Linked DNA regions of Rhinolophus ferrumequinum. The main gene of each other region encodes a partner of the protein of the gene in region 3 in a complex. Links are inferred from orthologs where the notes say so. Each region holds a gene or a part of one and is shown on either strand. Other genes may lie near its edges.

The links.
Region 1: the proteins of KCND2 (region 3) and KCNIP2 are in contact, whole or in part, in a cryo-EM structure (PDB 7UKH), measured with the Homo sapiens proteins. The link is inferred for Rhinolophus ferrumequinum from reciprocal best matches to the Homo sapiens genes KCND2 and KCNIP2. Residues at the interface, in NP_036413.1 of Homo sapiens: Val5, Ala7, Trp8, Leu9, Pro10, Phe11, Ala12, Arg13, Ala14, Ala15, Ile17, Gly18, Trp19, Met20, Pro21, Val22, Ala23, Ser24, Gly25, Pro26, Met27, Pro28, Ala29, Pro30, Trp55, Asp57, Arg61, Arg100; in NP_775283.1 of Homo sapiens: Arg112, Gly113, Phe114, Asn116, Glu117, Cys118, Val123, Phe128, Ile131, Tyr132, Gln134, Phe135, Phe136, Tyr144, Leu148, Phe152, Phe165, Leu169, Ile172, Leu173, Arg180, Trp183, Ala184, Leu187, Tyr188, Met201, Met205, Ile208, Met211, His228.
Region 2: the proteins of KCND2 (region 3) and KCNIP1 are in contact, whole or in part, in a cryo-EM structure (PDB 7E8E), measured with the Homo sapiens proteins. The link is inferred for Rhinolophus ferrumequinum from reciprocal best matches to the Homo sapiens genes KCND2 and KCNIP1. Residues at the interface, in NP_036413.1 of Homo sapiens: Ala2, Val5, Ala7, Trp8, Pro10, Phe11, Ala12, Arg13, Ala14, Ala15, Ala16, Ile17, Gly18, Trp19, Met20, Pro21, Val22, Ala23, Ser24, Gly25, Met27, Ala29, Pro30, Gln33, Arg35, Lys36, Arg37, Thr38, Gln39, Asp40; in NP_001030009.1 of Homo sapiens: Thr60, Arg62, Glu63, Val66, Leu67, Arg69, Gly70, Phe71, Asn73, Glu74, Phe85, Ile88, Tyr89, Gln91, Phe92, Tyr101, Leu105, Phe109, Phe122, Leu126, Leu129, Leu130, Lys137, Thr141, Leu144, Tyr145, Val162, Ile165, His185, Phe189.

Annotation. Positions count from the first base shown.
Region 1 is NC_046299.1:23,019,986-23,029,693, reverse strand, and holds the start of KCNIP2 (Kv channel-interacting protein 2), read right to left. Parts: upstream 4,116-9,708; 5' UTR 3,931-4,115; exon of another isoform or gene 3,849-3,930; 5' UTR 3,838-3,848; coding exon 3,765-3,837; intron 2,370-3,764; exon of another isoform or gene 1,549-2,369; intron 1,316-1,548; coding exon 1,019-1,315; intron 985-1,018; exon of another isoform or gene 112-984; coding exon of another isoform or gene 24-111; intron 1-23. Other genes in the region: ARMH3 (armadillo-like helical domain-containing protein 3), read right to left, coding at 7,412-7,504. UniProt on the Homo sapiens protein: Regulatory subunit of Kv4/D (Shal)-type voltage-gated rapidly inactivating A-type potassium channels. Modulates channel density, inactivation kinetics and rate of recovery from inactivation in a calcium-dependent and isoform-specific manner.
Region 2 is NC_046307.1:36,988,210-36,997,869, reverse strand, and holds the start of KCNIP1 (Kv channel-interacting protein 1), read right to left. Parts: upstream 4,319-9,660; 5' UTR 4,056-4,318; intron 1-4,055. UniProt on the Homo sapiens protein: Regulatory subunit of Kv4/D (Shal)-type voltage-gated rapidly inactivating A-type potassium channels. Regulates channel density, inactivation kinetics and rate of recovery from inactivation in a calcium-dependent and isoform-specific manner.
Region 3 is NC_046309.1:23,541,303-23,550,909, forward strand, and holds the start of KCND2 (potassium voltage-gated channel subfamily D member 2), read right to left. Parts: upstream 4,153-9,607; 5' UTR 3,980-4,152; intron 3,242-3,979; exon of another isoform or gene 3,080-3,241; intron 3,001-3,079; 5' UTR 2,045-3,000; coding exon 930-2,044; intron 1-929. UniProt on the Homo sapiens protein: Voltage-gated potassium channel that mediates transmembrane potassium transport in excitable membranes, primarily in the brain. Mediates the major part of the dendritic A-type current I(SA) in brain neurons.

The DNA.
Region 1 (9,708 bases), on a different chromosome or scaffold from region 3:
GCCCCTTCTTCCATTTCTCATACCTGGCGACAGCGACCCAGTCACCAGCTGGTAGAGGGATCGCGCTGCCTGCCCCAATGGGCTCCGGCACCTGCGGGGGCAATGGTTCATGGTTCCGCCGAGAGCACAGTGGCCAAGCTCCGCCCCCAAGGCCCGGGGTGGTCGGGTCTCCGCCCCAACCCGAGTGGGCCCTGCGTGGGCGGCGCGGGAGGGCCGGACCGGCAGGACCAGGATCTCAGACAGCAGTCTCGTTCCGTTCCCTGCCTTCTCCTGGCCGCACGAGCGGGACACACCCTGGCCCCATCATCTGAAGCACCCGCCCCCAAAGTTCCTAGACTGGGGCGAGGGATGGGCGGGGGCAGCGCGGACTCTCCTTACAGCCTTTTTTTGGAACATTTTCAGGATTTTTGGTGAGGAAAGGGGGCACTCACAGGTTTTGAGAAAGGAGGTGGAGGGGAAATGAATTTTTATCTTTCACTGCCCTTCTTCAGCCCCTCCTTCTCTGCCTTTCACACCCTTCCTCCTCCCATTTTGGTAGAAATGAGAAGGGGTAAGAGGCCACAGTTGTCATGGAAACTTCCCACACTTCCATACTTCCGGGACCAATGGGAGAGGGAGCAGAAAGGAGGAGGAGGAACTGGCCAGTGTATATGAGTGACAAAGAAGAGGCGGCAGGGATGTGTCCCTACTGGTCTCGGTCTCCTGCACCGAATCCCTTTTTCTCATAGCTGATTCTGTTCTGTGTCCCTCTGTCCTGCTCCAGTGCATTTACAGACTCTCCCATCATATGCTGATTGCCAGCCAAATGCGTCACGAAGCTCCCCTCCCTTCATTCCCGGCCCTGACCCCTTTCCCGGACTCATCCCTATCTCGTTACACGCAAAGTAAACCCCTTCCAAGACCCACTAACGCCTCCAGACTGCTGGGTTAACCTACAGCAGGTACATCCCAGTCCTCCGAATGGGATCCCGTATTTTTGGCTTAAAATCCTACATCTACGAGGCTTCTGGAGAATCACCTCTGAACTCCATGCAAATCTTGCCACTTGATTTGGAGACATCCCCATTCAGAATCAACTCTGCAGGCATGGCTCTTCTAAGACCACACGGGGGCGCCCCAGTCCGGGGAGCAATATTTATGGCCAGAGGAACGCGACTCCAAGATCCCAGGCCCAGGGATCCGAGCTCAGGCGTTGGCCAGCCAGGTCCCAACTGTCTCATCTTCTCCAGTCCTTTCTTTGCTTCCAGCTTGGACAGAAACACCGCTGATCCGCTGTCCTTTCCCACCCCGCGCGCTGCCAAGCTGCTCTGCAGGGCTGGGAAGACCAGAGGGGTTAGATGCAGGGCGGGGTGGCTCACGGACTTTTTTCCCCTTTAAAAGTCTTCCCCATCTTTGTTTTGAGCCTGGCATGGGAGTGGGTAAGGAAAGCGGTCGGAAGAACCCAGGATGCCCTGAGGTATGACTTTAGGGCCCCCTCCCTAACAGCCTGATGGGCTGGGACTATGGGAGCCAAAGACTATCCCCCATATCCAATCCCAGGAATCCCACCTGCACACAGAAGGAACCTTGGGATCTCCGTGGCTGGGCTGCACCTCCTCCCGGAGCGCTCTTCAGCACCGCGGACAACGACTCCCCTTCAGGCTTCTGCTCAGGTCGTCTCCAAGAACCCTGAGCACCCTGAGCTTTAACATAGGGGGCGTCCCAACCCCATTTGTCTCCTGCTATAAAAGATAAGCCCTCCTTGGAAAGGAGAGCTCCTGGTAGTCCTATTTCTTCTTTCCAAATCGTGTGTAGAGCTATCTACAGAGAGGAGGCTCATGATGTGGAAAACGATCCTTGACGCTTGTCAATATTTGACCTTTCTATTTCCCTTGGGAGGCAGGCAGGAAGTAGTATTCCCCCATTATACAGATGAGAAAAGTGAGGCCCAGAGAGAGCAAAAGTCATACATAACTGGTACTCACACTTCCATTCCTGCACCTTCCAATACAAGTGCTTCCCTCCTTCACCTAATTAATCTCTGATTCAAATAGCCAAGTGGATAGGGGATGAGTCCAGTAAAGGAGAGAATCAAAGCAGGAAGTAAACACTGAGTAATGTGGTGCTGAGGAGGGCCCTGGGGCTCTTACAACTGTCAAGGATCCTGAGATGATGAGAACAGAGTTCAAAGCAGAGCTAGACAGTTGGACCATTAAAGTCCATCCAAGTTTGAGACACATTTGGGGTCTGCCTGGGTGGAAAGGCTCCCCCTTCTGAGAGTCTTGGCTTTGGAACTAGGACCACACCAGGGTCAGTGAGTGCGGGAGACACTTTCTAAACGCATTAAATCCTAGTCTTCTCCCCCATCCCTAAGTCTTAACCTCACTCCGCTCAGGACAGACAAGGATCATATCCTCCCTCCACCTCCCTACTTGTTTCAGACACAGGTGAGACGGTCTTCCTCCTCCCATTCTCTATTGGAGTTCTTGGGCAGGCTGTACAATGAGAGACAGAAACACACACGAACATGGAAATGTGCACATGGTGTCACCCACACAAAAACATGGATCTGCCTACCAACCCAGGAATGTGCACAGGCACAGATGTACTAGTCTCACATACCTCCCCAATGTGGGGGAGAGAGAGAGGATGCCTGGGCAGCAAAGTGGTTTGGGGGGGTCACTTATAAAGGGAGGCCATATGGCACCTCCCAGGCCTAGAGTTTCTATCTCTGGGTCTGGAGGGGGGGCCAGAGGGTGTGCTTTCCTCCAGGTTTGGGTGAAGTTTGGGAGGGTTGTTGGGGGGTTGAAAGAGCTTCAGTTGTAAGAATGATCTCTGAGTACTTTATAGGGGGGCTGACCCAGCACTAACCAAAACCTCCTCACTGTCCAGGTGCTGCTCCTGGGGACCAGGCTGGGCAGCTGGACCCTAGAGTCCCTCATTGGGTCCACCTGGGCTATTTGTAGAATACATGGGGGAAGCAGTGGTATGCACTACAGACCCCCTTCTGCACCAGGAAGCCAGAGAAGTAGCTAGGGTAAGACATACCACAGACACTTACAGAGCCTCACTGAAGACTCCACTACGTGAAAGTACACAATCAGCATCAAATGTCAACATAATCCGCACAGTCTCACAATCACAAAACATAACACAACCCACCTTGCCCCAGGAGGTTCACAAAGTCTTACAAAGAGACAGGTCATCATAAAGTGAAGCCCTAACACGTTCTGGAAGTCACATGCCACTTCACACAGAATCACACTCAAAGTCGAGTTGCACATAGAACAGAAACACATAGTCAAAACAACTTCATTAGTACAATCAGGGTGCTACACAACCTCACTCAAACATCTGACAAGATCATGCAATTGCACAGCCACATATAATCACACTCACCCTGGCTGTCACCAAGCCCAGGGCACATGGCAACCAGCTGTGGGAGGCACACACACATATACACACAGACACACACAAAGAATGACAGGCGCTCACGCACGTACCACCTCCCACTCCAGACACCCTCCTAGCATGGTGTCACACCCGCCCACACCTGCTGCCTCTCTCCACCTGCCCACCTGCTCTTCCCACCTCCTGCCACCACCACCACCCCTAACCCGTGGGACCCAAGCTTTGAACTCCAGTGTCCTGGGGCCCAGAACAGCCGGGAGGGTGCTTGGAAATGGGGCAGAGTGTGGGTAAGGGCTTGGCCAGGGTCAGAGGCTTAAGGGTCTGGGGGGATGTAATCTACCCTCCCTCCCGCGACCCCCAATTCACCCACTCACCGGTGAGTTGGTCATAGGATCCGTCCAGGTCTCGGGAATCGGACAAACTCTCCTTGCGACCCTGGCCCCGCATGGCCCCCGGCGCCCCACTCCCGTCCCTACTGGGCGGTGGGAGGGGGCGCCGGGTGGCCAGGATAGGGCGCTCACACGGCGCCCCCTGGCGGCGTAGCGTGCTGCAGGGGCTGCGGGCCGGAACAGTCCCGGCTGGGGCTGAGATTCTGCGGACCTGGTCGGGGTCTAAGGCCCACCCGGGGGTCGTGGGGCAGGAGCAGGAGCGAGGCTTGGGCAGTAGGTGAGAGCAGAGCCGGAGACAGAACCGAGCTGAGCGCAGAGCCGGAGCAGAGCCGCCTCTCTCCTCCCGCCCCCTCCCCGCGGCTGTCACCGCCGCCTCCCCCCTTTGGCGCTGCCGGGATTGGCTCCCCCTACCCCCGCCCCCTCCTCTTTGCAGCTCGGGGGAGGCACCCGGTGAAAGGGTAAGCTGGAAAGAGCAGTGAGGGAGAATGGCTCTTCAGCAACACTACCCCCTAAACCTGAAGCCATGGGTCTTTGGGGTACAGGATAGCAGGGTCAGAAAGGCCCCACAGTGAGGAAACCCCGCCCTCAATTCAAAGGCACTCGGGGTATGTGTCCGAGTCCCCCGTTCGTCAGTCTCCACGTTAGCCCCTATATTCTCCTGTTCTCCCGTTTATGGGTCTCTGTGGCTCCGGCCAGTGCTCACCCTGCGTGGAGGGGCTGGAGATGCAGAGGAAAGGACGACCAGGCCTCCAACAAGGCTCATCTCAAGCCGGTGGACTACTTTTCTCTTACCTCAGAAGGACCCCAACCCTCACTCACTCCAGGACCCTGGCTCTGGGCCCCATTCACTTTGAGCACCTTCTTCCCTGATCTAATGACCCCCATGGGCCAACTGGGAAGAAAAGAGTGAAACAGATCAGTTTCTCAAGACTTTGTGTGTTTTCCCAACTTTCCTGCCCTTCTCTCTCTCGTCACATGCTCAGTCCTAGATTCCTTCTGTTTAAGTAAGATTTGGGGAGCGACTAAGGGTGAGGATCCAAAGTGGGGAATACATGTTCTTGTTATGAGCCCCATTCCCTTAGATGAGCTCCTTTTCTGAAGTCAGAGGCTTGCATAAAGCTGACTACCTCTGGCTCCCGGGAATGGCTATTGACTGACTGAGCCTGTTTGTCCGACCTTCCCCAGGAGGCTGCCTGGGATCCTAGGCAAGGGCCCCCCACCCACCACCATGAGGACGGAGGGGAGGGAAGTGTCTGGGGGGTCTGGATAGTAAGGTGGCAGTATCCCAAGTAATCCCTACCCGCCCAATGGCTCCTCTGGAGGAGTAACCTGTGGTGACTGAAAGCTTCAGCTAAAGTAACCCCAATACATTTAATCTCTTTAATTGGATTTAATTTCCAAGCGCTTGATTCAATTAACCCAGGAGGAATTATAGTGGGAGTTCAGGCATGAGAGAGGGACAAGCAGCCAAAGGACACTATCTTTGGGAGCAATGCCCTGCTCCTGGCTCTCCCCTGGCACTGAAAGATCTTCCAGACTTGGGAAAGACATTGGGGCATGGACAGAGCATAGAAGCTCCTTCTGGGGTTGAACTCTAGAAGAGAATGGGACTCATTTGGAGTTCTTAGGATAAGGTGTATGTAAATGGGTCAGAGATAGGTGGGCCCTACCATGGAGGGCAAGACATCCTTTGCTTATTGCCTCATGCCCTAGACCTGCCCTTATTCACTTCATCGGAAAGATTGGCAGGAATCCGTAAGCACCCCAAATAGGCTGGCTGGCCTCTTCAACACCAAGTTTGGTGATTAGGGAATTCTCTTCTCCCTCCTTCCACTGAGAATGCAAGGGAGGCTACACCTTCCTGAACCGAACTGATTTTCTGTGCCCAGAAGACTCAGGATGAGAGTCTATAAGGATAGGCAGGGGTCCCCTAGCCAGATGGGACCAGCACCTGGAAGATGACCTTAACTCTGTCTTTGAGAAATGAGTACTGGGTAACGGAGATTAAAAAAAAAAGACACTAAAAAGACTGTCCCATACAAATCAATTTTTAATAATTTCAACTTGCCACCAGCTTCCAGCTCCAGTTCCTCTAGGGTTTATCATTGTGGAAAACACTAAATGCCCCAAGCTGAACTATCCAGCCAGTGATCAGAAGGACCCAGCCTCTGATCTCTATAAGAATCTTTACATGGCAGCATGTTGGTAGATTCTCTGGTAATAGTGCATATCTGCTCAATGTTGCAGCCAGAACTCTGGTTCCCAGGGAGGGCAAGCATCCCAAAGAGATTTGAAGTTGAAGAGGAATAGCAGCTGGGGAGGTCCCAGACTTGCTTTCACTGCTGGATTCCTGCACTTCCAGATTCTTCCTGTGCTGTTTGTTCCCTGCCATCCTGCGGGCTTTAGAAAGTACTTTAGAAAGGGAGGATCTCAGAGCAGCAGCTACTTCAGGGGCAGCTGTGGGGTAAGGAAAGCCTACAGCGGTCCCAGGGAGGCTGTCCAGAGGAGGATTCACAGGCCAACTTCCCAAATGTCAGGAGCCTTGCCTGTGGCTCCGCCCAGAATACCAGTAGCCTCTCCATGATGCTCACCTGGCCTCTTGCAGATGGAGGATAGCTGCCCCCAGTAGGTTCTCTCCCTCCCAGGCACCAAACCACAGCAGGAACAGATTCTTCCCCAGAGGAAATTCTCAGGCAGGCTGGATGTAAACAACAGCAGGGTGAGGGGGTGGAACACGGGGAGGGAGGAGAGGCTTCCAGAGCACTGGGTGGCTAGGGAGGTGGGGAAGCTGCTGGAAAGAGGACCAGCAAAGTAGGCACCTGAGGGCTCCAGAAAAACCTGTCAATGTTTATTTCACACACACACCCTAAAGACAGTTGAAACCAGATTGAAAATGAAAAGCTGAGGTTGTGACCCTATAGTGCTGATGAGTCAATGGGTTGGAAGGCAGGGGAAAGCTAACAGGTACTCCTGGTAGCAAGAATCAAATCCAGAAGGTGGTGGCCAGGCAGCAGAGAACTGGGTGGATTCTAATCTCCAGTCTCCCAGGGGAATCAGCTCTGGATTTAGAAAACAGAAATAAGGGACCCCATTCCTACCCTATCCTACGCCTGAGCTAAGGGTCCTAAGAATTGGACAGAGTGCCAGCGGAGGCAGGGGATACAAATGTCAAGCCCAGCTTAGCCCCAGGCCTAAAGGAAGCAGAATTGGTTCCACGTCCATCCGGAAGTTAGTCTGTTTTCAGAAGCCTAGGAGAGCCACTGACCCTCAGGGGGCTGGCAGCACCCTAATGCTTGCCCTAACAGATCCTGAAAATTAGACATTAGTCACCACTTGTAATCTCAATTGGAAATATGAGGGGGTGTCCAGGGAGCCCACCCTGGAAGTCCCCACGTTCTTAAAGGCTTCTCCCTGTGCCCACCCACCCCTCCCCCAATAAGATTATCCCTGGCTTGTCCCTCCTGGCCCCTGCTGTCCAAGCTCCACTGAAGTGCGGCCTTCACCGAGAGAACTCAGTATCTGTGTTGTTCTGCAACCTTGGGGACAGCCCCCTGTCCCGTCCCCTCACTCCCCCTCCAGCCCAGAAGCCTCATGGGTAAGGGCAGTCAGTGGCTGCTCAGGTACGCGTGGCCTCAGGAGATAGTGGAGAACTCCTTGAGCAGGACTTCCTGGCTGAGTGTGTGGAAGGCCAGGTTTCTCCGGACGTTGGTGCTAATGGATCGAACCTGGGAAAGGGTGAGGGAAAAGTAGGAGGGCACAGGCAGAGAGAAAGGAGAGTCAGTTACAAACAGTAGAGGGCAGTGCCTGAGGCACAAGGCCAAAATGCAGTGTTAGAAGTTTCTCTCTTAGGAAATCAACCCTTAACAGCTATCCTCCCTGCAGGCAAGTGAGCAAACAGTTCCGTGATTGTGAGAAGAAGAGAGGTTGAGAGACAAACTGTAGTGAATACAAGATGAGCATGTGAGCATCGGCAGAGGCAGAAGCAAGCACAGACAGGGAAGGAGGGCGTCTGCCTTGCCTCGGCCATGCAGCCAGGTGAAGGGACTGGTCAGTGGTCTAATGGAGCAGGAGAAACCGATACTAGCAGACTCACGCTCTGGAGCTACCTCCCTTTGGATGTGTTTCTGGTCTCCTCACTCCCCCTTTGTACTGATCTACTTTTTGGGGTTGGAAAGAACATGTAGAGATGCAGCCCTTGTCTGGCATAGATGGCAGGCAAACAACCCAAGAAGGCCAATGACCAGGATCAGGTCACACAGCTGGTGAGTCCCAGGCTTGGGGCAGGACCCAGGTTTCTTAACTTCTAGTCTGGCGCTCTTTCCATACCACAAAGATGCCTCCCCACTTTCGAAGCAAGTCTGGGGTATACCCGTGCTGTGTCCCCCACCCCCGCTCATCTAACATGCTTTCTACCCGTAGATGGAGAACCTTGCAGGAAGCGGTGCCTGTCAGCGGGGAAAAGACCTGTGGAGAAGGGCCAGAGGGCCAACCTCCCCACTCTAAGTGCTTTCTAAGAGCGATCCAGCAAACTCTGGAAGGAGATTCGTTCATGGGAAATAGATGTGAACGTTGTATGACAGACAAACTGGGGGGTGAGGGGAAGGGAGAAAAAGAATGTTTGTGCTGGGCCCCAAAGTTCAGGGAGGTTTCCTTCGATTTCTGTTTTGCTGTGGGAAGCTTAATGAAGTGGCCAGGCTGGAAGCAGAGGAAAGGGCAGCATGGCGAACAGCAGGCAGCTCAAGCTCATTAGCTCCAAACCCAACCAGACCCTCTTTGCTCCCTGCGCCAGAGGTACAGATATAAGGAGAAGTGAGTAAGCCAGAGGCTAGTGCCAAGGAGCCTGAGAAAGAGCTCCTCTCTCCTGCACCGCCCTCTTCATCTCCCAGTAACTTACTCTCTTTGTTAACTCTTGGCTGCCGGTAGTTCTCCCACATCAACTTCAAGACTTGCTAACCACCCCCTAAAAATACTCTGCTATCTCCTTACACTAATGGCTTCCCTTTTGCCAATGAAGTCACCCCAGAGCATGTCTTCTGTACCCCGGGGAAATCCAAAATCCCAGCAATGTCATGTCAGGGTCAGAGACGGGCTGTGTTTAGCACAAGACAGATGAGCTAAACTCCAGCGTCTTTATCATGGACTCGGCACGGGGCAGTAAAAGCTGGGCTGATGCGATTTCTGCCCAGAGCGGGAGGTCTGAGGACATGGGAAGTAGGTGCAAGGCCTGTGTGTCCTGGGCTCAGCCTCCAGCCAGGATGCAGGCGGACTGGCAGGACTACAGGGAGGCTGAGCTTTTCCTGGGAGAAGCTCTGAGCACAGGGCAGAAGAGGGACCATCAGTGGGGAGAGCAGGCTGACTGGACAGTAGAGTAGGGCAGGAGGCAGAGCAAAGACTCACTAGTTCCATTCAGGTGGCAAGGATGGGGGCTGCAGGCAGCTGGGTTGGAAAGTGGGAGCGGAGGTAAGGAGTGAAGATTGGAGAACAGATTGGGAGGGCACTCAGACCAGGAACCAGATAGAAATTTAGGAAGCAACTATGTAAGGAGGAGATGAATCAATTACTCTCATTAGTTGCTCTGAGAACAGGATAAGGAGTAATGAGCCAGAGCTGCCACTGGGAACACACGTCAAACCCCAGGCCCAGCAGGAGCTGTGCAAGGGCGATCTCCTTGGCTGCACAAGAGAGGTGGGCAATGCTGCTTCAGGCTTCGCACCCTTCCCAGCCTGGCACCAGTACCCTGGGGAGTATGTTCTCTCACTGCCTGGTCCTGGACTGCTTTGGGAGAGAAGTCACATACCCAATCCCCACAGACCCCTCAAGTTTTTATTTCATCAGCCTCTGGCAAACTGTAGTTGTTCCCCAGATGCTCACTTGCACAGTAGAACCCAGTGGCTGGGAAAGGGCCCCCAAAAGACACAAGGAGAGACCA
Region 2 (9,660 bases), on a different chromosome or scaffold from region 3:
GGATTAAATGAGAAAACCAGCTACCACACTCAATATTGTGCCTAATATGTAGTAAACTTTCAAAAACAGCGGCTAAGTAGCAGCTCACATGTGTTTCTGTGAGATACCGTGTACGTGTGTGTGCATGTGTATTCATGCATGTGTGTATGCGTGTGTGTTCATGCATGTGTGTGTGCGTGTGTGTGCAGTGCACTTGCACATAATCTGAGGTTATCCTCCCAGGAAGATGGCTCTATTATCTCATTTTTACAGCTGAGGAAACTGAGGCACAGAGGGGCACAGTTGTGTCCAAAGTTGTTTTGCTAATAATGGCGGTAGAATCCGAGTGTTAAGCCCAGCAGTCTGACTCTACAGCTTTGCTCTTAGAGCTCAGAAATTGCTTGCTCAGAGTCCTTCTGGGTCAGATACTCTGTAAGCAACAACGCACTGTTTTGGGTCATTTCATGCAGAGGACAAGGCACATCTCCGGTGGTCCTTTTCTGCATGTGACACTGACTTCCAAAGCCTGTGTCCCCAGGCTCCTGAGGGTTGATGAGCTGAATTGCACAGCCATGCAAAGCAACAATGACCAACTGCTAAGTACGGGGCGTGGGACCCAGCCTTGCCTCCTACTGCCCTGAGGAACAACAGGATGGGCTCAAGGGCTCTACAGCCCACCCCAGGGTCTCTCAGTCTCCTGTCTGTCAGAATCGCCCAGGCCCCTTCCCTGCAGCTGCCAGCACCCAACCTCAGCGGCAGATGCTGCTCTGTAGGAAATGCCAAAGAGTTGCCATTCTACTGGTAAGTCCCCCCCGCCCCACACACTGCTGGCTCCCCAACCCCCACCACCCCTCAAGCACCGCCCTGTGGCCCACCCTCCAGGGAAGTGCTGAGAGGCTCCGAGGGAGTCACTCAACTGTGCAGAGGAGGCAGAGAACAGAAAGGCCAGATAAAGGGAAGGACTCTGGAATCTGAGCTCCTTCACCCGTCCCCCCCAACCCCCTTTTGCTTCCGCTGGAAAAAAGAAAATTGCCAACTAATTGCTCCTTGACAACCCCTGCTGGTCCTCAGTCATTTCTTTCTTGCTGAGATTATAATTAGGGAATCAGTAAATTTAAATAGGAAATCCATGAGCAGCACAGAGCCTTCATTTTTCAAACGCTGTTTCGTGCACCCTGCCAGTGGCACTTGTGGGCAGTGGTGTCAGGTCCCAAGTGCAGTGGGGATGGGGCTGTGGAGAGCATGGCCGCTGGTCCGCTGGTCTCTGCAAAGGTGCAGGAGCGAAGGCCACAGCCTGGATAAGCATGTGCCGTTCTCCAGGCTGGGCCAAGGACTTTCTAAGCCTTATGTTACTACATCCACCCTTGGAGGCAGCACTAGTTTTACTGCCATTTTACAGCTAAGGAAACAAAGGCTCAGAGAGACACTGGCTTATGCAAGGTCACACAGTAAATGACAGGAAAAGGACTTGAAGCCCCACGTGTCTGATGCATGTCATCCTGCACTTTGACTGTTTCCAACCGAGTGGGGACCTATGTCCCAGACCTGAGAAAATTCCAGGTGGTGGTCCCTCTTCTTCCCCCACCAAAGTCTGGAGACAATCACAGCCTGGCCTGGGCCTGCCTTCTCTCTTGTGCCCCCTGGGTCTACAGGTCAAGGTGAGGCTCCTGGTGGGGCTGAGAGGGAGGAAGAGAATTCTGCCCGTCCTGTGAGCTGTGCTTTCTCTCTGGACCAATAATGCTGCCTCCCTGTGGGTCCTCGCAGCAGCCTGTCTGGGCGGGAGGACCCAGAGTGTCACCCCATCTCCATTTCAGAGATGAGAAATCAGAAGCCTCAGAGAAATACAATGACTTTGCCCAAGATGCCTTAGCCAGCTACTGGCAGATAGATTTGGGACTCAGGTGCTCTCTACCTCCCTGCCAGGGCGAGCTGCTTCTCCAGGGCTCTGTCACTCTGCACGGCTGGGCTCCACCTGCAGACAGCTGGCCTGTCCAAACAGAAAACCAAAACATTGGCAGGCGGGGGAAGGACAAGAGCTCACGTCTCTTGCTCACCTGTCTCTTGCTCACCTGTGAGGTACCACTGGCTGCTAATAGAAGAGAGCTTTGGAGCCACCTGTCAGCAGTGACTTTCAGCTTTGCCTTTCTAAGCGTCACCTAAAAGAAAATTGTGGGTGTTTGTGGTAGAGATGGTATGAGGATGAACTGGGACAATGAAGCTAAAACACGGGCCCAGGGCAGTGCCCAATGTGTGTCAGTTATGGGCAGAAAGCATTGCTTGTTTCCCTGTTTAGTACTATACTAATATCATCAATGGTTCTTCTAATCCTGTGAGATTTCAGTATCTCCATTGTCCAGATGGGAAAACCGAGGCTCTGAGAGATTAGAAAGCTAGGTTCAGACCGACATCTCATAAGCAGGAGATCCAGGCTTCCAACCAGGAGCTGTATAATCTCAGGCCCACACTCACCCCCCTCACGTGCCATCTCCAGCATGGGGCAGCAGTAGGACAGAGATATCCAGGGGACGGGGGACATGTGACACCCCAGACAGATCAACCTATGCCCTGGCCACCAGGACAAGCTTCAGTGTCGGGGCTACTGTACTTCTTAGTGACCCTGCACTGTGGCAAAATGCAGAAGGGACAAGACGTCTGCACATCAAGAACAAAGATCATGACCTTGCTGCTTAGTTGGCCCTAGTTCTTAGGGAACAATCCCCCGTTGCCAGTCACCTGCTGTGGGGGCTCTTTTATTTAAGCGTAAATGAGGAAACATTTCTCAAAAATTGTGATGTATAATGAAGAAATAGTAACTGTCATGCGGGGCGGCCTGCGGGGTCTCAGCTCCCGCTCCCCACATAAAAACACAGGACAGGGTGAGGCCAAAAAGGAACACCCACGGAGCCATAGGTAGGGGAGTCATCCTGCTATATTCTCGCTGGCGGCACTATAGTCTCACTGGAGGCTGGATCCACACTGTCCGCAACCCGCTATCCTAACTGCAATCCGCGCTTGCAGGCTCAGCCACCATCTTCTTTCTAGCCCCCCTTTGCTGCTAGCGTAGCCACAGCAGTTATATTAGTGGCCAATGGCTCACTGGTTACAGCTGACGGCCAACCAGCCACAGCTGATGGCCATTTACTACCTGAGCCAGCACCTTTCCACGCGAGGCCGAGAGCTTGGAAACTGCCCTCCTGGCTCTGTCCCCACAGTGACCCTTTCTTATCCCTTCAAATCTTATGATTTTGAAAAATATGCAAGACGTGTCGCATTTCTTTCCTTACCGTTTCGATGTTTGGTCTGTCTCCTCTCTCATGTCTCTGTCTGTCTCTCTCTATGTGTGTCTTGTTCTGTCCCCCTTTCCCTCTGTGCTTCTGTCTCTGTTTCTTGGCTTGTGAATGTCTGAGTACATTAATCCCTGAAGTCAGGAGGACATTAGACTTCCTCCTTTTCTACCCTCCCCTCCCCAAGCCCGTCTCCTCGGAGCTCCGTGGCCAGCCTCCGGGGCCCAGCACCAGCTCAGCACCTCCGTGAGGGCAGCACTCTTATGCATCACTGTAATTTTCCCCTGGCTTCAGAAACTCACAGCGACGCCTCATGTTCCTAAATCTAAATAAACATCTTCCTCAGCTGGGAAAGGCAGGATCATAAATTGGTTGTGTTTTCACAAAGCAAACTTTTTTGGCCAGAAAGAGCTGTACTCTTCATCTCCTGCCTGGAAGGAGGACAGAGAGGAAAGGAGACAGAGGGCTGGGAGAATGGGCGGAAAAGGGAAGGAACAAGCAGAAAGCAGGAGAGAGGGCAATGCGCGGGGAGGAGGGAACACAGAAAAGCCCAAGAGAGTCACACTCTTCTCTCTCAGACCGTAGGCAAATAGTTTACAATTAGGATTTCCATTTCACTGACAGATAAACTGAGGCTGCAGGAAAGTCAATGGCAATATTAGGAGAAGGCAGTTTTCTTTGCAATGAACAACAGTGCATCGAGGGCAGGGAGAGAGAGGCTTCAGACTCCCGAAACCCCAGGAGCTGAAAACCACATCCCGCATTACTTTTCTTCCCACGGACAGAACTGACCTGCTCTGCTGACTTAGCTCAGTGTGCATTTGGGCTTCTGCAGATTTCCAGAGAAACAGCACATTTCCTAGGGAGTGAACACCATCACTGGAGCCTCGTTCTTTCGAGTTTTGAACACCTGGAGCCTGCTTTGCTGAAAGGGGAGAAGCTGTACCATGTTGCAGGAATCTTAGCAGGAAACAGTGGTGTTGATCACGTGTTCAGGAGAGCCTCAGACCCTTTTCCCAGCCTCCCTATGTAAGGGATGGCGGGGCGGGGGAAGCCCGGTGAAGGAGGCTCCAGTCCCGAGCCCACTGCCTGCGTCTCCTGCCGATGGTCCTCAAAGTCCTAACACCTGGGCCAGCAGCTAATCAGGCTTTCAGCTTTGCCTCGCCTGGAGAAAAGCCACATTATCTGTAAAGAGCATTTCCTGCAGCACTGGCCCTGGAGGCGGGAAGGGGAGAAGAGCATCGCTGCTCTGCCCTCTGCCGGGCAGAGCACAATTAAATCTCAGTTAACCCAAGGGCCCAGGGGCAGCATAGCAGGTTTCCTGGGCTTCAGGTTATCTGATTGGAAGCACTGGTTAGCACCACACCTTGGGAGTAGAGGAATCTTTCTGACATGTGGCCAGTAGCACACAGGCCGTCCTGGACTCCTGGCACTGGGCTTGGGGGAGCCAAGGAGCAGGATTCTGGACTCAAAATGGGCCCAACACGTGCCCAACCCTGGAGACAGGCTGTAAACATTTTCTTCTCTGATTAACCCTCGCTAAGACGATCTGTTTGTCATGTTCTCTTTTCTCCTAAAACTCAAGACGTAGGTGTCTGCCTCATCTCTGGGGTCAGTGAAGTGTCTTCTGTTTAATGAATGAGCCGGTTTGGCTGGCCAGTGCCATTTTGTGCCAACCTGTTGTCTGGGACTAACGTCCACCATCCCACCCTGGGTGTCAGTGTTGGATGGAAGCCCTCTGTATCCTGAGATAGTCCCGGGCCCCATGGCGTGTTAGACAGGCCCCTCTGGTCACCAGAATGGCCCTGTGGCAGCCTCCATATGCCCTGGGTTGGAAGGGCCGCAGGCAGAGCTGGCCCCAGGGCGGTGCTCATACTAGTCAGAGCCCTGCTACTTTCAGAGCCCACTGGCTCTGCTTGGTTTGTCTCTCTCCTTTCTATGCTTTCAAGGGTGGCAGGCAGCCTGCAGGTGGATTGCAAGGACAAGGAAGCATCATTTACACTTGAGAGAGTAAAGAGAACAGAAGATGTGGATGCCAGCCTTCCTGGAGACTCCTCGGCCCATCCCCCAAGGAGCCTGGGGAATGGCCCCCCAGCAGGACCTTCCCTCTCCTCCCACCATGACACTCTATGGAGGGAGGGCTCCTGCCCCACTTCTTTGCTTAGTCCGACCTGACCTGAGGGAAAAGGACAATATTGTGGGGAACAACAGATCTCCCCACTTTCCCTCTGGACCGAGGAAGGGGGAGAGGGCTAGGCAGAGGGTGGAGGCAGGCAGGGCTGGGAACATGCCCTGGAATTCTCCTTTATTTTTTCCCCAAAGGCAGCAGCTCCTGGAGGAAAGTTTGCAAGCACCAGTAACCAGCTGTGGTGTCAAATATTAATGGCCTCAGTTTCCCTTCCAATCCCACCCCTTTGAGTAAACACGCACCTACCCATCCCCCCATCCCCACCCATGGTGTGACCTCGGGCAGACTCCTCCCAGGAATCCACACAATTCTTATTGGTCCTCTTTTCCCACACTCCCCGCCACGGTACTGAAGTGGGAATTCCCCTGGGGATCAGGCCGGCATGTCCTTCTCAGTCCCAAGAGCAGAGGGAGGTCTTATGCCCTGAACAAAAGGGAATTGCCTGTGACTCATACCAAACCCTGCTGGTTGAGAAATCTACTTCCTGGGCTTGGGGGTTGGGGAAGTGGGGTGGAACTGGGGCCAAGGCATATGTGTGTATTGCTCACATGTGTGTATGTGTGTGTGTGCATGTGTGGGTACATGTGTGTTCAACAGTTGGCTTCCTAGTAAAACAACAACTTTCTGAGCTGAGCTTTCCCAGGACCAGAACTTTCAGAAAATCTGCTCCTAAACCATCAATCTCTCTTTCTGGATGGTCTAGTGAGACCCAAAGTCTGTTTGGGCATTTTTTAAAGGAGAAGGAAAAAAAAAGAACTAAATGAGATCAGAAAATAATTCAGCTACATGAAGTTGAGTTATCTGCTCCCACTAGCTGTCCCGAAATGCAAAGGTATTTTGTCAGGCACATTCAAAGACGCCTTGGGAGGCCTCGTCTACAGCCCCAAGTTTGAGTTCGCAGCTCCCTCATCCTCCTGGGTTTCTAAAGCCTCAGGGAGAGGCCACAGCACCTGTTACTCTGCTGCTTGTTTTCAGATGCAGTTCTGTGGGTGGTTATAATCGGGATTGTCAGGCTGGATCTTAAGGGAACTAGAAGTGAATCAGTTTCGATTTTTGTTTTGCATTTTTTTGTTGTTGCTATCATTTTTCCCAAATGGGAAATAGAAACCGGACATAAACAAAATGGGGAACTGAGACTCACCACATGATTTTTGCCCTTTTTTCACTTTGATAGAACAGGAGTGGAGAACAAAGGCACTTTCTCATGATACAACTTAACTTTCAGGCAACAAGGTCATTGTTTAAAGCAAGCAAAGGAAGGCAAAGGTTTGTCGTAACCTATTATCTCACCAACCTGTCTTATTTAATTTTCCCCCAAAACTCAATGACATAGGTCCTTGTGTCCCTATGTCATGGTGGGGAAACTGAGGCTGAGAGGGGAAATGACTTGTCCAAGGTCATACATGTAGAGATAAGTGCTAGAGAAAGGATCCAAAATCTGATCTATTGCCAAGCTTCTGTTTTCCATGTTCTCACACTGTCCGTCCCCACCCTCTTGCTCTCACCCCAACCCTTTGTCTCTTCACCCAGGGTCCCTGAGGGATTGTGAGAATCCTGGAGCAGGAGGTAAGGGCTAGCTCTGGACAGTTTCCAGGCAAGGCTGTTCTCTGTCCCTCTGCCCTGATTCTGAGATGCAGACTGGGGCCAGGGTGGCCACCTTGGTTTGTAAACAGCAACGTACCTGGAGCTCAGGACAAAAGTTGTCTTACCTGACACCAGGTTGTCTCACTTGAAACCAGGTGGTCAGAGGAGAGGACCAGTCAAGGTGGTGCTGAGGGCTCAATGCAAAGACATTCCAAAGACAAACTAATTCAAAACAATGCACACACCTGGTGTTTATTTATTCACTCACCCGTTCACTCACTAGACAATTCCTTATGCCTCTCACGTACAATGAAATCCAGACTTCTTTCCGTGGCCTGCGATACCTGCATATTCCCATCCCTGTGGACCTCTTCAGCCTCACCTCCCACCCCACTCCAGCTTTCTCTGATCTTTGCAAAGCTCATTCCCACATCAGGAGTTTCTGCCCCTTTTTGTTTGGCTGTTCCTTTCTTACTATTTGGGTCTCATCACAAATGCCACCTTCTCGTAAGGTGACCTGACAATTTCTTCTAAAGTGGCACCCTTTGTGACATCACTCTGGTTAATTTACTTTACAGTATGTCTCACTCATCTGTCTTGCTCGTTCGCTTCTTTTATTTGCATTGTCTATGCTCCACACTAGAAAATAGTGTTAGTGACAGCAAGGCCCTCACTTGTCTGGTTCTTCTCTGTATCTGCAGAGCCTGGAAAAATGGCTGGCACACTGAGGACATTCAGAAATATTCATAGGATGGATGAGTGGGTAGATGGATGAATGGCTAGATGAATGGGTGGAGGGATAGAGAGGGATGGATGGATGGATGGATGGGTGAATGGATGGATGGGTGGATGAATAGATGCATGGATAGATGGTTTCTTCTATGTACCAGGTCCAAGTGGAGATGTAGAAGTGAATAAAATACTGTTTCTTTGCTCAAAGAATTCACTGTGAAGTAAGGGAGATCTTCTCATAGTCAGGTAGCTATGACTTGGTAGAGTACAAGGTTTAGAAGAAAGAAGCACATTTGGGGTAGAAAGGAGGAAGGGATCCATTTTTGCTGCTGGATGATAATCTGGAAATATGCTTAAGGAGATGACATTTTGAGCCACGAATGATAAACGGAGAGAGTCAGATGATCAGTGAAGTTCAGAGCCTTCCCTGGGGCCCAGGAAAATGCAAAGGGGCTGAACACAGCCTTACCTAGTCTGGAAACTGTAAGCTGTTTGCTGTGGTGGAGACATGGGAAAGGAAAGTTCTTGTGGTGTCTGCTGCTGCAGCGCCAGTGTTTTGCATCTAGTTACTCTACCATTGGTACTCAGTATTACTCAGTAATACCCAAGAATAGGTACTCAAGAATTATTTGTTGAGGAAAGGAATAAAAGGAGAGAAGTAAGCCTGGCAAGGCTGACCAGAGAGTCAGGTAAAGCGAAGCTAAAGAGGTTAGATTTAGCTGGAGGACAGTGGGAAGTCATAGAAGATTTGATGAGTTGTGTGTTTCTGCTGCAGCACAGGAAATGTGTTGGGGAAAGTCCAGGCTGAAGCATGAAGTGCTGGCGGGGGGACGATGGCAGTAGTTCAGGTGAGAGGAGTTGAGGGTCTGAACCACATGAAGATGGCTGATAAGAGGGGGTGAAAGAGACACCAGAGATCTGAGGAAGAGGGAGTCGACAGAATGGCATCCTGGATTCTTTGTGGATGAGGTATGGAAGGAGGGAGTGAAAGGAGAGGAAGGCGCCCAGGTCTCCAGCTCGAGTGACTAGATGCTAGTACTGAAATACACCATGTGTGGATGGGGATGGAGGTTCTCCACGACACTAAGTTTGCGTGTCAGGACTCCTCACTTTTATTGGCCACTTTCAAGAGCCTGAAACTGATTTTGTATTCACGCTTTCACTCTTCTTAAAGACTCCCTTTCTGCCCAATTATACAAACTTCAGGCCCCACCAATCCTGGATTCTCTTCTGAATATAGAAGGGGATCAATCTTCGGGAAAAGATTATAAGTTCCAATTGGGATCTGTTGAGTTTGAGGTGGATGAAGAACCTCCAGGTGGAGATGTTCCACAAGGAGCATAGTGTGGTGGTTAGAGTGTGGGTCAGGGTTCGAATCCTGGCTTCGAGCAGTGTGAACTTGGGCATGTTGTTTGACATCTCTGTGCTCCATAAAATGAGCATGGATAATAATAATAGTACCACCTTCTTAGGGTTGTTGTAAAGATTAGATGAGACAATGTATATAAAGTGCTTCAACAGTGCTCAGTGCATAATAGGTCCTCAAAATAAGTTACACGTCAGCTCTTGGTATTATGTGGGGGAGTGCAGATCTGGGAGTCATCAGTGATGAAGGCCTTGGGAGGAGTTGGATCATGAGGAAGCATGTGTTAGTGCATGATAAGAAGGTCAAGGACAGAGCTTTGACGTTGATTATGGTGACCAGAGGAAGGGGAGCTACCAATGAGGCTGACGAGGATCAGACAAATGGGTGGAGAGTGGGGGAGCAGAGTGGGTCCTGGAAGCCAGAAGAGGGGAGACTGTCAGCAGGCACTTGGTCATGAGTGTCACCTGCTGCTGAAAGTCAAGGCCACTGGTGTGGGTGGGCCTTGGGGAAGTCACCGATGAGCTTGT
Region 3 (9,607 bases):
AAACACCATTACCCCCAAATAAAACAATGCACACAAGAATGCTAGAAGGAAATCAGATTGCACAGTATTCTATAATGCAACCAGTTCTTGGTGACCATCAATCTCACCAGATACCGCTCTACATTCTTTGTGTATTTAATGGTCCTGGGCCTATTGCCTGATGGGATCTGTAGTTTCTAAAAAAAATGTGTGGATGATAGTCATTTGCTTCTTTTTATTTGAAACTAAGAAACTAAAGTCTTGAATATGTTTCAAATATCATTCCATTGCATTTTGTAGAGTTGATCAGTTTCAGCCCTGATATTCTAAAAACCGAATTACTTAACAGCCATAATGAAAATGCATATATATACATATATATATGAATATGCACATATATATTACAAAATCCCTTGATAATGATATCTATAATCTATACTTTAAAATTTAAAATAAGAACTATGGTTCTTAAAGGAAAAATGTATGCCAAAAGTATCTATTCATATGAAAATAATACTTCAAATATACATGGAAACTTTCATTTGAATATACTGAAGCACTCTCTAGGCATTTCAATACATATTGTGCATATTCATAACTTTATTGGGGCACACATTTTGTGTCTTTCAATGTCATTATATTTTTATGTATTCACACATATAATATGGATGATCTTTCCCTATATTCAGGAATTTTAAAATTTCTTTGTTATATGTGTCACTTTCAGGCATCAATACTCAACATTTGCCAGCAACTCCCTGGGTACATCAATCTCAATATCATACCCATTTAGTAGATCCAAAGGTTCTTCCAAACCATAATGCTTTCCTAAACCCATTTAGGAAAGGGAAAAATATACATATTTCCTCTGATTTATTTTATAACTTTAAGGGATCCAGTCACCTCACCAGGTATCCAACCTCCATCCCATTTCCCTTGATGGCACCTACCCTAGTGTTGTCATGGTGACGATGGTGTACCAGAAGGCAGCAGGGATGCTGGTGAACTTGCTGGCGGAAGACCCCTTCTCTGCGTAGAACATAACTGTAGCGAAAATGATGATAGCCATGGTAAGCGAAAAGAGCAAGAAGCCCAATTCTGAGGCACAACTCTTCAGTGTGTACCCCAGGATGCGCAGGCCTTGGGAGTGGCGGGAAAACTTAAAGATCCGGAAGACCCGGAAGACCCGGAGGGTGACAAAGGCTCCGCTGACGTCCTCATTGTCTGTCATCACTAGCCCAATGTAATAAGGCAGGATGGCCACCACATCGATGATGCTCATGACACTCCGCACAAATCGGTAACGACTTGGCGCTGCAGCCAGGCGAAGCAAGTACTCAACTGTGAAGATCATGACGCAGGCTGTGTCCAAGCAAAAGAAGGCCACTGCATACCGCTCCCCGCAGGGCAGTTCTTTAATGTGACCTGGGCTAGACCCACATGGCACGGTTTCGACCACATTAGCGATGACCGAGACGGCAATGAAGAACCCTGTGACGTAGTAGAAGACCAGGGCCATGGTGCTGGTGTGGGGGTTCTCAAAGGCCCGCCAGACCTTCTGCCGAGCGGTCATGGTCGGCAGCGCACTCTCTCCGGTGTTGTCGGGGTCAGCATCGTCCTGGAGACGCTCCGCGTTCTCTCGCCTCCGATCCTTGTACTCCTCATAACAGCAGTCACCAATGATTTCTGGGATGAGGCCGAAGAAGGCCAGTTCTTCATCGTAAGCAGAGATGCACTCATGGCGAGGATAGTGGAGCTTCCCAGTGCGGTAGAAATTCAGGATATGGCGGAAGATGTCTGGGTCACGGTCAAAAAAGTATTGCTGAGTCTCAGGATGGTAGAAAAAGTCCCTCTCAGAACTGCCCAGCAGAGTGTCTGGATATCGTTCCAGGGTGTCCTGCCATGTTTGGAAACGGGTGCCACTCACATTCAGCACAATTAGAGCATCTTGAGTCCTTTTCCTCTCCTGCCTTGGGGGAGCTGGCATGGGCCCCGAGGCCACAGGCATCCACCCGATGGCCGCTGCCCTTGCAAAGGGCAGCCATGCTGCTACACCCGCCGCCATGGTTCCTTGAGGTGGAGGCCGGAAAGGCAATCAGGCCTCCTAGTGGGTCAAAGTAGCCCCAATCACCCACTTGCTCTCGTCAAACAAATATTACAGAGAACTGTGGTCCGCGATATCACCTTTATTCCAAGGTAGAGCTCCTAGAGAAATCACAGTTCTCAGAAGGGTAAGTTTCCCTCAAAGACAGGTATTTCATACAATGTTCTGACAATCACGCCCAACAAAACCTAACTAAACCTTGTCAAGCAGTCACACCAGGCCTGTCTTGGAACAAATAAGTGTACAGGTGACTTTAGATGCAGCAATTTCTTCAAACAGGTGTCTCTGATTCCTCTCCTGACACAGTCTGTTTAACGTGGGGTCAGTATGCGTCGTTTAAGGTAGAGAAAACGAAGGGCAGCCACTTAGTGGTATTCTTTTGACGAATCAGGGCACCCTTCCACCTTCCCTTTTAGCTCTTTCAAACCTTCCCTGTCCAAGGAGACCTTCCCGCCAAAGGAGTCTCAAAAAGGCGACCTGTTGTAGCTTCCCAGGTGCGGTCACAGCCGCTGCCCCACGTTTCTTTGGGAATCTGATCGCTGCCTCTACCCCTTGGGCCGTATTTGCAGAGATGGAGGTGCTGTGCGGTGGGCACGGTGGGGTGCGTTAATAAAGATCCTCCTCCCCCTCGTCTACAAGCACCCCTAGCGTCTGCTAAAAGCGTTCGCCCAATCGCCCCTTCACTCTCTTTTCAAGTTCAGCTCAGGTGCAGTGTGACAGTTACGGAGCCCGGGAGCTGGCAGCCGCCGCCGCCGCGGCGGCAGCAGCATCTGCCTCCGCGAAGAACGCGCCTCGCCCGCGGTACATACCTGGCAAAGTGCGCGCCGGGGCTGAGTTGCATAGAGACTTTCTCCTCGCGGTGCACCCGGAAAGGGAAAAGCAGAGAGAGCAGCTCGCGAGCAGCCGAATCCGAGGCGCTGAGGAAGCATAAATAAAGCTCAGGCTAGCTCTTCTTCCCCTTCCCCCATCCCTCCGTGCTTCCCTCCTCCTTTTCACCTTCCAAAAGCCAGGCGCAGGCGAGCCGAGCAGCAGCAACAAGTTCAAAAGGTGCGGGGGAGGCGAGAACAGAGGGAACGCTCTCCTGCCAACTTACTGCACCGCGGCTGTCGCTGGGGCCCGAGCGGCGCGGTGCGGGGCTGCGGGGTTGCGGGGCTGCGGGGCTGCTGGGCGGGCGGCGGCGGCGCGGCGGGGCCGGGGCTGGCGCGGGCAATCGCCGGAGCGCTGAGGCGGGAGGCGCTCAGCAGCGCGGGGGTGCGGGGGGGCGTCTCGCTTCTTCCCCGCCAGTGGGTGGTCCTGCATGTCCCCGGGCTCTCCGCGCCGCTCTGCTCGTGCGATCGATAAACAAGGAGAAAATAAATAACCGCGCGCACGCCCCGCCACGCAGGTTCTGAAAGGCGTCTCCCACCTTTCCCTCGGCTTGACCTTTCTCCTCCCCCGCCCCCTCGGGCTGCTCTCGCTCCACCCCAGCCACCCACCAGCCCCGGCGCAAAATGTCACCGAGGGAGAGCATCCAGGTGGATCTGCCGGGGAGGAGAGCGAGCCTAGATGAACAAAGGGAAGCTGCACGCGCTCGGCTGCGGAGGCTTGGGGAGGAGAGGAGGACGGGGACCGGTGCCTTGCTTCTGCCTCCCTGGGTCCCGGTTCAAGGCGAGCGTGGGAAAAGGTGAAAGAGAAGCTGAGAAAGAGGGTGAGCGGAGCGGAACGCGCAGGAATTGGTTGTCTTCTGGGGACTACCGGGTAGCAAGCTCTGCAAAGCCTCGCGGCGGAATTTTTAAGTGCTTTTCCTCTTTCTCTTTCTTTTTATTTGTTCAAACCAGATGTTAACGTTGCAGGGGTAAATACGTCATCTATCCAACTTGCCGAAAAGTCAGGCAGTCTCCTCGGTCTAGGTCTTACCACAACTCCTTTTCCCGTCCTTTGCGAATGACAGTAAGGATTTAGAACCTTTTTCTAAATGTCAGCGTCCAGGGGCTTGAGTCTGTGTGTGCGTCCCCTCCATTCTCTCTGCGCATCTGCGCGCAGATCTAAAACGGTTCAAGTAGTTAAAGGTGTCCTGGTGAGGGGTAAGTGATGTGATGTGGTGAGAAACTAGGAAATTGTCGCGGCCAACCGTTTTGTTTCTCGTGTACCCCGCCCCCCCGTCATTAGGACTCTTCCTTAAAACCAAACAGATACCATTTATAACCACTAGATGGCGTGAACGGCGAGAAGTTAAATCTATCCCTAAGGTTTGGATGCTTTAGAAAGGTGAAGGATCAAAATGAACTGAGCCAAGAGGATCAGATCACAAAATCATGCTCGTATCCCCCACTCCCTGCCCATCTTGTTAGTATTTATATGAGATACACTACTCAGGCTTGAGTCTGCATTTTGATGTTTATGGGATGAGATGTGCAGTTTCCTGTTGAAATGCCTTTGAAAATTAAATTTAGATAAATTTGGAATAATAGTACTAGTAAAGGCCTTTTGAAATAGTGAAGCTTCATGTACGTTGATTAAGAAGAGAAGTCTAATTTCTACCTGAAAATTACCTTTTCAAGACTTGGTTTGGCTGTTTTGGGTTGGAAATTAAGTGGACCATGATGTACATAGTCTTGAATTGATTTGACTTTCAAGCCCTAGAGATCAGAGGGGTGATGTGTTAACCTTCAAAATATCATATAGAGTACCTCAAAGAAAATATATGAACTAAAAATAGATTATGTTGAAAACCAACGGAGAAAAACAAACCTTATAATGTACAAGATTTTTCTGTAGAGATAGAAAGGTATTTTTTGTTGACTTGCCTAGTGGCGTAGAAGTTTAAGAAATCCCATAGTAGAAGTTAATGGAACTAATGCATCATGTAAGTTTGGAAACAGACCTGAAGACTCCTGCTGTTTATCTGTTTGTATTAGTTGAGGTGAAAGGTGCTTATTAAGGAATCGACATAGCCTGCCTACCTGAAAAAGAAGAACTATGTTAACTGGTAAATAAAAAGGAGGGGACTACTTAAAAAGGAGGGGACAATTACTGTAAGAAAATCAACCCCTCCTAGCCCAGTCTATAAGGTTCCACCATAACAGATGTATCCAGAGAGTGGGGAACCATGATTATTCATTTGGTGCCATACTGGCTGGCCATTCTGTAGAGGAGGGGCAAGCAACCAAAATAGAGCCTTTAAATCTTCCCTGTAGGAAACTGAACAATTACAAATATAAATGTTGAACTCTGCAAAAACCCCTAAATAAGCAAGGATATAAAATCTGTTTTAAGTTTTTACGATCTGCTCTCCCCCATTCTCTCCAAACTTCTTGATGTACTGGAAAGAATGTGGGTTTAGAAGTTTAACTCATCTAAATTCAAATTCCAGCCCAAGAAATTACTCATAGGCTTTGCTTCATTTGGCAAATTACTTAACTTCTGTTTAGAAACTGTAGATAATAAAACTTAACTTTTTAGGCCTATCATGAGGATTAAACAGGCTAATACTTCTCAACAATGTAGAACTTGGCACACTCTAAGGATACTCAATATCAATTCCTTTTTACTTTAATGAATACTGGAAATGCAAATCCTTTCATCCAGCCTGTATCTGGAATTCCCACAGATATTTTTGTATGTTTTTTCTTGCCTCTGAGTTAAAAAATTCCCTTGTCGTGATACTCTGGTGACTCTGCTGTTTTAATTCATTCATGCACTGAAAGCTATATGAAGAGTATATGTACAGAATCTAGCAGAACACGTTATATGCTTCCCTTTCCCAGGGATTCCTGTTCGTCCTTCTGGAATTCTCATTTTATATATTCTGCTTGGTTGATGGAAAGTAAACTCAGCAAGATCAAAATTGAATTCAGTCATCCCTCTTCTCCAAACGTCTAGTCCTGTTTTCTCTCCTGATGAACAAAGCCTCAGGGAGAAACCGGTGGTCATCACAGACCAGGTCCTGTTCTTCACTCCTTCCCCCCAACAAACACACACTCAGCCAATGACCCAGTGAGTCTTGCGTATTCCACCCTCTTCACCAATCTGTCCTTATACTGTACCTAAAGTGATTTTTTCAACTATTTTGAGGTAATGATAGATTCACACGCTGTTATGAGAAATAATAGAGACCCCTTAATCCTGGCACCACGTGTTCCCAAAGGTAACGTCTAGCATATTACAGTAACATATCACAACCAGGAAATTGACTTGGACACCAAATCCACCAGTCTATTCAGATGTCACCAGTTTTACATACACTAACTTTTGTGTGTTATACTTAGTTCTGTCATTTGATTACACGTGTAGATTTGTTTGAGCACTGTCACAGAAAGCACGAGAAGATTTCCACTACAGGAATCACCTTTTATTAGCCTTGCTGTCTCCCTCCCTCCCCTTCTCTATCCCTTGTCAACCACTAATCTGATCTCTATAATTTATCAATTCAAGAATGTTACATAAAAGGAATAATGTAACATTTCAAGATTGTCTTATTTTACTCAGTAGAATTACATTGAGATCCATCCAAGTTGTTGCATGTATCCATGGTTCTTTCTTTTTATCGCTGACGAGTACCACACTTTGATTAATCATTCACCTACTGAAGGACATTGGGTTGGTTTCAGTTTGGGGCTATTATGAATAAAGCTGCTATAAACATCCATATACAGGTTATTGTACTAATATAAGTTTTCATTTCTTTGGGATAAATACCCAATAGTGCAATTGATGGATTGTCTGATAAGTATGTTTAGTTTTATGAGAAGCTGCCATCATATTTTCCAGAGTAGCTATCCCATTTTGTATCTCACCAGTAAAATACCTGGTTTCTCAGCATCGTCATCAACGTGGCAGTATCACTATTTTTCATTTTAGCCATTCTGATAGTATATAGTAATATCTCACTGTGATTTTTATTCTCATTTCTCTAATGGCTAATTTCGTTGAGCGTATTTTTATATGCGTATTTGCCATCTGTATATTCTTCAGCAAAATATATGTTCTGTTTTTTGCCCATTTTTATTAAAATGGTTTTTATACTGTTGACTTTCGAGAGCTCTTTGTATGTTCTACATAATTGACCTTTGTCAGATACGTTGTTTGCAAATATTTTTCCTATTTTCCTAGCTTGTCTTTTCACCCTCCTCACAGGATTTTCTGCAAATCAAAACATTTTAATTCTGATAAGTTCCAACTTATCGTTTTTTTTACCTTTATGGGTTATGCTTTTGGTATCAACTCGAAGAACTCTGCCTAGCTCCATGTCCCAAAGAGTGTCTCTATTTTTTCTAAAGATTTTATAATTTTACATTTTAAATTCAAGTCCATGATTTATTTTGAGTTAATTTTTGTGTAAGGTATTAAGGTTTAGGTTAAAGTATTTTTTTTGTATTTTTTTTTTTTTTTTTTTTTTTGCCTATGGCTGTCCAGTTGCTTCAGCACCATTTGTTGAAAAGCCTATTGATCCCATGTTAAATTGCTTTTGCAACTTTGTCAAAAATCAGTTGGGTACATTTTCTGTTATCTATTTTTAGATTCTCTATTTCGTTCCATTGATTTGTGTTTATCGCCTCACTAAAACCACACTTTCTTGATTACTAGACCACCTGTACGGTAACACTTAACATCAAGTAAAATTATTCCTTCCACTTAATTACTCTTTTTCAAAATTGATTTAGCTTTCATAGGTCCTTGCCTTTTTATATAAATTTTAAAATAAATAAATAAATAAATAAATAAATAAATAAATAAATAAATAAACACACACACACACACGCACACAATTGTATAACCTTGCTAGGATTTTAATAGGCATTGCATTACATCTAAAATCAATGTGGACATGTTTACTAGGTTGAGTCAATCCATGAGCACAGGATGTCTCTCTATGTATTTAGCTCTTTTCTATTTTTCTTTCATCAGCATTTTGAAATTTTCAGGATATAGATCCTGTACATGTTTTATTAGACTTATACTAAGTATTTCATTTTCTTTAGAGAAATTGTGAAAAGCAGTGTGTGTGCTTTTTAATTTTGGTTTCCATATGTTCATTGTTAGAGTATAGAAATGCAATTGGTTTTTGTGTATTGCTCTTATATTGGCAATTTTTTTGAACCTTTTTATTAGTTATTGGGTTTTCTATGTAAACAATCAGGTCACCTGAAGATAGGGTCAGTTTTTTTTCTTTTTTTGCCATATCTATGCCTTTTATTTAGAGTGTGGTTTTTGGTTTGGTTTGGTTTTTTTGTTTGTTTGTTTTAATGCACCTGTAATCATGTCACTACCCCTTTCAAAAGTCTTCCATCTTTTTCGGTTCTTAGCAGAGAATATAGAAACCTTCAGGATCTCAATTCCCTCTACCCTTTAGCCTCATCTCATGCTATCTTAACATTAGCTTACTTCACAGTATTGCTCAGTTATTTTCAGTTTGCAGAATTTGGTGTGTTTTATCTTGATTCTGGATCATGGTTCATGCATCTTTTTTCTCATATTAGGTACTCAGCTTGAGTCATATCTTCCAGGAACCATCACCTATCCTCTTCAAATGATGTTAAGTGTTCCATAAGAGACTAGAACTTAGATGAGATTTTTGTTTCTCCCTCTTCTTAGCCACTAGACTGTAACGTCTTTGAAGGCAAGCAGTGGTCTTTTATTTCTGTAACCTCAATATCTGCCATTGCACTTGGCACGTAGTGGAAATACAGTGAATGTTTGTTGAATGACTGAGTGAACACTGTAATTAGATAGCTAATATGCATCTTTTTTTCCCCTTGTAGATTATTATTATAACTCTCCAAAAGACTTAGAGAATCAACCTGATTTACTAGCAAGATGTGCAATGGAAAGCCAATTACCTTAACAACGAGACAAATGATCCACGTTTTGAATAGCTGTGTACGAAGTGCTTTCTCAATGTACTTATAGTACACTGGACAATGTACTTACATTACTTACACTGTACTTACAGTTGATTTTCAGAATGACCTTGTGCTGTGGTTGTTATTGTTCCATTTATTTTATCCAAAAGGAAACAAAGCTCATGGAGGTTAAGGGACTTTCCACGATTATATCCAATAACTAAGTGGCAGAAGCTGACTCATTCTTGGGTGTTCTGACCCTAAATCACGTATCCTTTTAGGTCTATACACACACCAATATCTGCCATAGGAAAGTCTCCATGCCAATTTGTTGTTGTTGTTAGTACTGGTGATTAATTAGCACAGACAGGTGCAAACTATTGTGCTCATCCCCCAGGGCACATTCTGTGAGGTCTCTGCCAGGGCAGGAAATCATCTGTGGTCCTGGAGCAAGGGAGCACTACATCTGTTCATGCTAAACCTTAACCAATTCTGCTAACTTACCAGAGTGATAAACACATCTAATATCTAGATCACATATTTTACAAAAGACAAATTTAGTGTATCTGATGACATTCTTAGAACCTCTGATGAGACAACTCTTTCTAGGAGTCTGTATTAGGTTATTTTATTTTATTTTTATTGAATTTTTTTTAATTGAGATACCATGGGCATAGCCCTTTGTGTTAGTTTTAGGTGTACA